Rattus norvegicus: one gene and its partner. The protein of the gene in region 1 interacts with the protein of each later gene in a pairwise test. Links are inferred from orthologs where the notes say so. Each region holds a gene or a part of one and is shown on either strand. Other genes may lie near its edges.

Evidence for each region. The genes of interacting proteins can lie anywhere in the genome.
Region 2: the proteins of Tfg (region 1) and Anxa11 interact in binary tests that used the Homo sapiens proteins (3 or more experiments, as listed by UniProt). The two-hybrid records come from large-scale screens. The link is inferred for Rattus norvegicus from reciprocal best matches to the Homo sapiens genes TFG and ANXA11.

The regions. Positions count from the first base shown.
Region 1 is NC_086029.1:57,371,663-57,375,308, reverse strand, and holds part of Tfg (protein TFG), read right to left. Parts: intron 1,536-3,646; coding exon 1,395-1,535; intron 1-1,394. UniProt on the Homo sapiens protein: Plays a role in the normal dynamic function of the endoplasmic reticulum (ER) and its associated microtubules. Required for secretory cargo traffic from the endoplasmic reticulum to the Golgi apparatus.
Region 2 is NC_086034.1:1,418,323-1,422,571, forward strand, and holds the start of Anxa11 (annexin A11), read left to right. Parts: upstream 1-1,411; 5' UTR 1,412-1,466; intron 1,467-4,249. UniProt on the Homo sapiens protein: Binds specifically to calcyclin in a calcium-dependent manner. Required for midbody formation and completion of the terminal phase of cytokinesis.

The DNA.
Region 1 (3,646 bases):
ACAGCTGTAGCAAGGCATGTAATTAATGCCACTCCAAAGAAAATGCATCAATAGTATAATGTGAATATGGTGAGTATTGCTAGAGAACACAGGTAGAAGACCATTTTCACTATATAAACTATTCTTAACAGATTTGATAATTTGGCAATTAAAAAAAGCCCTCAAAAGACAAGTGAAATCTTGCTAAGCAAACATCGTATCTCATTTCTGCCACTGACCTTTTTTGTACAATTCTCCTTCTAATAACTGACATCAGTGCTACAATGGCTTTTAGTTCACCTGGCATGGATGTTACAACCTTTGTCCACCCAAACTCTGTGTTCTGCTTCAGCCTCCCACTGAACCAATATCCCATCACTTCTAGTTTGCCCTAGCTCTTGTTCTTGCATATTTGATGCAGAGTAAGACTGACTAAAGTTGGTGGAGAAAAGACGTAACATAAGAATACATAAGATACCACCTGCTAGTCCCCAACGAGTCACACTAATTCAGTGAGCAAGCATGGAAAGCATCACCACAGGACAAGAAGACTCCAGGCACAGCTCATTCTAGCCGACTGCTGTAGTTTGTTTCTGTTTTAATGTAAATGCTGCTTTAGGTGCTATGGACTTTAGATCATCATCAACCCTTTGGTACAGTGTTAGAGCACCATCTGGTGTTTACTGTTTTAAAGTAAAATGTGCACTTATAAAGGTCCTAACATGTACAAGCAGTTAACAGAAAAAAAGAAACAAGGTCATGTCAAGGGTTGCCCTAGAGATAGGTATGGTCCTTAGTGGTGTTCTGACTTCGTCAATGAGGTCGTCAATGAGTTGTGTGTTTCAATGAGGCATCTGAGATCCTTCACAAATACCAACCAGCCCTTTGAAATACTGCACTTTCAATTTAATTAAGGATTAATGAGGTATTTTTTAAAATGATTGATTTAGTCCAATTTTCACATTTTTTAATCAGTAGAAAAATATCAAAACTCACAAGATTAAATTACTTACCAAGGACACATAATTTGAAGAGAAAAAAAATTAACTGCAAATGCACTGACCCATGTCCACTACATTATTTACCTAAAATTATGCTTCACCATCTCTACATAAAATCTTTTTAAGTGACAGAAAATGTAGTGTTTGGAGGGGAAATTATAAAGTATTTTTCCCCACTCTTTCATTTTGTGTTTATATTAACTTAAAACATTTTTCATCTACCTTTCAATAATCAGAAATATATCCTGTATATTATTTGGTTCATGATACTAAATCTCACATTAGTATTAGACTCTTTTACATCTGTGAAGACAGTGAGACTACCTATATAAATGGACTGCCATTACCAATGATGCCTCAGTGAACACTTCTGCACATGTCCCTTCCCACCTATGGCTCTGAACACTATTTTACCTTCAATCTGACCTGCTTGTGTCTGAGCTCCTGCATAGGGAGGTTGCTGTGGCTGACCTGCTGCTGGGTGTGCTGCCGAAGAGGAAGAAGCAATGCTGTCAGGTGTTCCGGAACGGTCTTCTGTAGGAGCACTGGGTGGTCCTGGGTGGTCATGAAAAGTCAGTTAATTACTCTGTCCAAACTCGTTCCTTAACAAGTGCAATTTAAAGATTTAGGTTAATGACAATAAAAATAAAATCACCATGAAACAACCATGTCACCGAGAATACACTACACTTATGTGCTTCATATTTTCACATTTGCTCCAGTCTATAGGATCCAAAGTAAAAATTGGAAATCCTTCCTTACAATGTGTGAAATTCTAAATTCCTGAGTCCTAACCTCCCCTTGTCAAAATCAAAACTCCTATCTACAATCAACCAAACACAGGGCTGCTTTCTTAAGTAGGTCTCTACTGTCTGTAAACTCAATTTAATCTCCCTGGTTATGTTCAGAGATCCAAACATTTCTCACTAGTCTTCTCACATGTTCTTCTTTTAGTTAAAATTATCCAGCTCATGGTTTCATAGGATATCTAGCCATTGTTTTGGTCTCTAATTCATTTATCATAATTTCTCCACTCTATGACTAACTGCAGCATACTTAAATGACCTTCTTTAAAACCTAGTTATAATTCTAATGAATCTTTGACTTATACTTTATCTCCTAGTGAATTTATCTACGGCTTACTTTTTAAATAGGTAACACTGATTTCTACTTTATATAAATGTCTATACTGGCCCCATTTTTCTTAAGACTGAGAACTCTGGCCATACTCTCTTGTTCTTTGCTGATAGGACTAGGACTCTATTTAATACCTACAGTCAATCAAACTCTGTCAGGGTAAGGAAAACACAGGAGCCAGTACAGAGAATCTAGATTTTCTGTATACTTCTAATACTGTGACAGTAAGTGGATTCTGAAGATAACACAAGGCTTATGGCTTTAAGTTAGTTTACCACACAGAAAGGTGATATGAAGAGTTCTGGAGCTAAATTCCTTAGGTTGTATTGCTAGAGCTAACAGTGGCTGCTGACTTTAGGCTACTGAACCTTTCTGTGCCACAGCTTCTTCAACTACTTAAAAGGCAAACCAATTCTGACCTCAAGGCTACTTGGAAGGCTTATGAGTTAAAGTTTACAGCAAAATCCTCTAAAAGCAATTAGCACTTAGAAAGCTTGATTTAACCACTCACAATTATTAGCAGGCTTTCCTTAAAAGCAGTCTCCAACTGTTCCAGTGGCATGTCCTGAGAACTTTAAATCTAAAAGGTCACCAAAGTCTAAGTATAAAGCTGATGAACGTTTGCAAAGTGTCTGAAATGAATGCTTGGACATTGTAACTGGGTTATCCCACCATGAACTTATAGACGGTGGGCTACCAGAAGGTGAAAGGGAAAAAGGAGTAGGTTCTTGAGAACAAACACTTTAAGAATGCATCTTGTCAGTAGCCCATTTGACTTCCTTGCTTCCTGACTACCAGAGTAAACAGCCTTCTCTCATACACACTCAGCCCCTAAGGTGTTTGCCTTGTTTCAGGCCCAAGCTAACAGAGCCAGTGGGCCATGAACTGAGATTTCTGAAACCATGACCAAAAATACATCCCTTTTCCTGAAGTGACTCTCAACCTTCCTAATACTGTGACCCTTTAATAAAGTTCCTCATGCTGTGGTGACCTTCAATCATAAAATTATTTTCATTGCTACTTAATAAGTATAATTTTGCTAGTTATGAATCATAATGTAAATTTCTGATATGCAGGATCTCTGATATGCAACCTCTAAAGGGCAGAAACCCACAGGTGGAGACCACTACCCTAGGTTATTTTCTAAAGCACTTTGTCACTGCAAGACAAAGCTGATATACCACCATTTTAGGCACATGGCTTGTCCACTAACAGTCAAGTGCTAATGAGAAGCTATGCTCGGTTATGGTAACAGGAATGCTGTTTACAGCTTTACTTGTACACATGCACACTTCCCTAGAGAAGACCCTGTATTATAGTAATCTTAAAAACACTCAGGGCTTGGCTCTTCTTCTCTCTCCTATGTAGCACGTTACTGTTGTTTACCTGTTTTTCTGACTTCAGTCTCTTGACTTCTACATTACTGTGGTAGTTATTTCCACCCTTAACCATATCACACTTGAAGAATTAAAAAAAAAATACACTGGTTGTTACTTATGTGAAGACAACTTAGTATACATAACTGCATG
Region 2 (4,249 bases), on another chromosome or scaffold:
GTTTTATTATTCACTCTAAAACCTTAAGCCCGATTTGTGATGGCCTTCCTAGAGAGTCGCCCACCTGCGTGGCAATAGCCAGACTGTCCTGCTCATTCCCGCCTGCACACGGACCCCTCTTGGGGCAAGGCAGACCATACCTACCAACCAGGATCCTTCAAGAGGCTCCTGAAATGCAAATGACGAATGGCTTGTTTGCAAATCAAAAGTGGGCGGTGAAAGAAGTGCCCTCCAGGTGAGAGCTAGATTGTGAGGAACAGCAATCCTTAAAGGGGGATGGGAGGTGGGGTGGTGGTGGATCCTATAGAGTCCTTAGGAAGAACCTAGTTGACTCCAGGGCACCAATTGAAAGGCACCAAGATAAAGTGAGGAAAAAGAATACTGCAATCCTGTTTTATAAACAAATACGTTTGCTTAAGCGTCCTAAGCCATGCACATGTAGAAGTGTGTTGGACAACTGAAATGAGGTGCCTAAACGTGACCTGGGGAGAGTAAGACTCTTAATTTTTATTATTTTTCCTTTTTTATTTGATTTTTTTTATTTATTTACATTTCAAATGTTATCCCCTTTCCCGGTTTCCCGTCCATAAACTCCCTATCCTATCCCCCCTCCCCTTAACTTTTATTTTTAAATGTTACACAACCATATTTATTGTACTACCTTTTTCTAAACAAGCAAACAACATGATTTTCCCCTGCAATTAATATACTAGTATTTTTGCTACAATGAATAAACCAATACTGATGCATTGTTATTAAAATCTATATACTGTTCAGATGTCATTAGTTTTCAACCTAATGTCCTTTTCCCAGGATCCCATCTAAGAAGACACATTACTTAGTTTTCGTATCTCTACGTGACAGCTTCTTAGACTTCCCTTATTTTGACAACCTTGAGAGTTTTGGACAGTCCTGAGTTCCTCAACTGGGGCTTGTCTGATATTTTTTGCACGATTACTATGGGGTCATGTGTCATAGGGAGGAAGACATCACACGACAGAAGATCAATATAAATCACCACTGCTGATGTTGGCCCTGATCACTGGCTGAAATGGTAATTTTTTCCACTGTGAAGTTTCCACCTGCCGTACACAGTGGCCGTTTTAAATTTTCTTCACGGTCATACCTCTGAAAATAAACACCCGAAAGATGTTCTCTCACCCCACAGTCTGGAGCGCGGCTCTGCTCCACTGGGAAAGCCCAGGGCTTCCTACAAGAAGTCACTACCAAGAGCGCGGCTCTCACCTGTGGGCGTGGCCACACGCACCCCGCCCCTCCAGAGAGACCCCGCCCCGCTCCGCTCCTGTGGCTCCGCCCCGGGGAGAGTAAGGCGGCCGCGCCCGGAGAGTTTTCCGCCCTGCGGGCTCCTCCTCCGACCGTGCGCAGACACTCTCGGGTCGAGATCCGGAAAGCGAGACTTGGAGGTAGCTGCTATCCGAGCTCAGTGTCCCGGTCCCTGGTGCCAGGTGCGTGAGGGTCCCGTCGGGCGGTCTGTACTTGAGGGGTATTCGCGTGTGGCGTGGGGTGTAATGTTCCTCCGGATGACCAGGCCCGGAGTTGAACGGGATCAGGGCAGGTGAGCCTGGGATCCTGTGGTCCCATGATGTGCGAACTTGGGGTTGGTCAAGGTCTTATCTCAGTGCGTTTCCGGGAGAAGCTTGAGCGGAGCCCAGCCGGCCGAGAACGCTGTCTTGGGGAACTTTGCTCCGGAACTGCAGGGCGCGGGTTCCTGGACCTGCCACCCTGGGTTTATATAAGGCAGGCTCCCAAGCGGTCCAGAGAATGCGCGATTGTGCCAGTTGCCGTGTTGCCTGCCTTCCTTACGGCTTATCCAGCTACGATCTCTCTGCCCCTGCCCCCGCTTCTCGTTCCAGAGACCTAAAGAACTCTTGCTTGGGCTTGGCTCCCCGACTTCCCGTCGGCTCAGGCCAGCCTCCTAAAGTCGTAGAAGGTGGCAAACAGTTCTGGGGGAGAATAGTTAAACTCAAGTTGGGCACATTCTCTCAGGAGATTTCTCTTTCCGCTCGCTAAACAGTAGGTGTCCTTGGAGATTGGGTTTCACGGACCCTACACCTAGAGTGTCAGCCTACCTGTCTGATCCGTTCACTGGACTCATCTAGCTTGCTCCGCGCTCGGTCCTGCCCGTACTATAAAGCTTGCCCCGAGGCAGCCTTATTGAGGAAAAAAAGGCTACAAATGCGGCCCTGGGTTGGGCTGTTCTCTAGTGTAAATTTTGCAGATGACAGTGTGTGTGTGTCATTGTCAAAATGATGACTATTCCTGAAACTGGAGCCTTGCAGGGAAGGGCCAGGTGTCTTGCTCACCCTCGGCTTGCTCCCATTATGTTCCTTTATTATTTCCTTGCTTCAGCCAGTTGTTGGGAATTCCAGGAGGATTAACAGGGCTGGTTCTTCTAGGCCTTGTCTGTGCTTGGTATTCTCTAGCTCCGGAAGCCAGGTGAGCTCTCCCGCAGTCTGTTTCTCTAGCACACTCGCCCACTTTGGATTTCTCCATCTCTCCTGATTTCTGAATCTCGATTTTTCTTCTCCATAAAATGAGGGCACTTATAGTTCCTATTTCATAGACATTGTGAGGATTCTGCGAGTTAATTTTTTGTTCTGTTTTGCTTGTTGTTGCTATTGTTAGTTAATTTTGGGGGAGTTTGTTGTTTGTTTGTTTGTTTGTTTGTTTTGAAACAAGGTTACCTATTTAGCATTGGCTGTCCTGGAACTTGCTTTGTCTGGTCTCAAACTCCAATCTCAGACTCTTACAGACCTCGGCCTCCTGAATGCTGGGATTAAAGGTTTGTGCCACTCGCTCAGCAAGCTGATTTTTTAAAAAGCATTTATATTATTTTTAATTAAGTGTGTGTGTATTCAAATTCCCTGGAGCTGGACTTACAAGTTGTGAGCTTTCTGAGTCTGAAATCTGGTTGTCGGCAAGAGCAGTCTTCACTCTTTTTTTTTTTTTTTTTTTGGTTCTTTTTTTCGGAGCTGGGGACCGAACCCAGGGCCTTGCGCTTCCTAGGTAAGCGCTGCAGTCTTCACTCTTATCCACTGAGTTATCTTTCCAGTCCTATGAGTTCATCTATTTTTACCTTTTTTGTTTGTTTGTTTGTTTGTTTTGTGTGTGTGTGTGTGTGTGTGTGTGTGTGTGTAGCCCTAGGTGTTCTGGAACTCTTTAAGATTCTATTGGCCTCGAACTCAAAGATCTGACTGCCTTTTAAACAAATTTTCTGTTTATAAGTGGTTTTTGTCTTCGTGCATGTCTGTATACCATGTGGGTTCCTGGTGCCCTTGGAAGACAAAGAGGGCACTGGATACCCTTGAACCAGAGTTGCAGACAGTTGTGAACCGCCATATAGTTAGGTACAAGTGCTTTTAACTGCTGAGCCATCACTCAAACCTTGAGCTGCTTTTCTTTTCTTCTTTCCTTTTTCTTTTTTTTTCATATAAGACAGAGTCTCTCAGTGTCGATCTGAGTGTTCTAGAACTCGATTTGTAGGCCAGGCTGTCCTTGAGCTCATAGAGATCCACCCGCCTCTTCCTCCTGAGTGCTGGCATCAAAAGCATGCACCGCCTTACCCAGCATTCCTACTTATTTGTTTACTTATTTATTTTTGAGACAGAGTTTCTCTGTGTAGCCCTGGCTGTTCTGGAATTCACTGTGAGACCAGGTAGGCCTTGAGTGCACAGAGATCTGCCTGCCTTAACTCCCAAATGCTGGCTGGGATCAAGGGTGTGTGCCACCATTGCATGGTACAGGTTGGCCATTGCCGCCTGGCACAAGTTGATGTTTTTAGTGTCTCTGCCATGCTCAGGTACCGAGCAGTTAGACTGGTGGCAACTGCTGACTGCACCTGTGCATGACTGATGAACGGATGATGCTCGGGTTAGCCATAAAGCACACAAGGTGAGGCCTGGTGTCTAAGTAATCAAAAAACCCAACTGCTAGTAGGTAATACAGCAAGAGCAAGAGCATGGGGTGCAGCTGGCTTGAACTGCCCCGCACACACCTCTCTTCCCTCTTTCCCCTGTTTTGTCCTTATTTACAAACCATTCTGGTGTTCTGCTCTCTGGTAGGAGGGCCAGATATGCCCTCTTTAACCTCTCTGTCATTGGCCCAGTTTTCCGGAGAGGCCTTAGAAGGATTTGTATGACCACATATCTAGTCTTTGTGCCTTTGGGGGATGGAGACTTTCTGAATCTTTTTAGGTGCCTATGTGGGTCCTCTTTTTGGTGGTGATGGT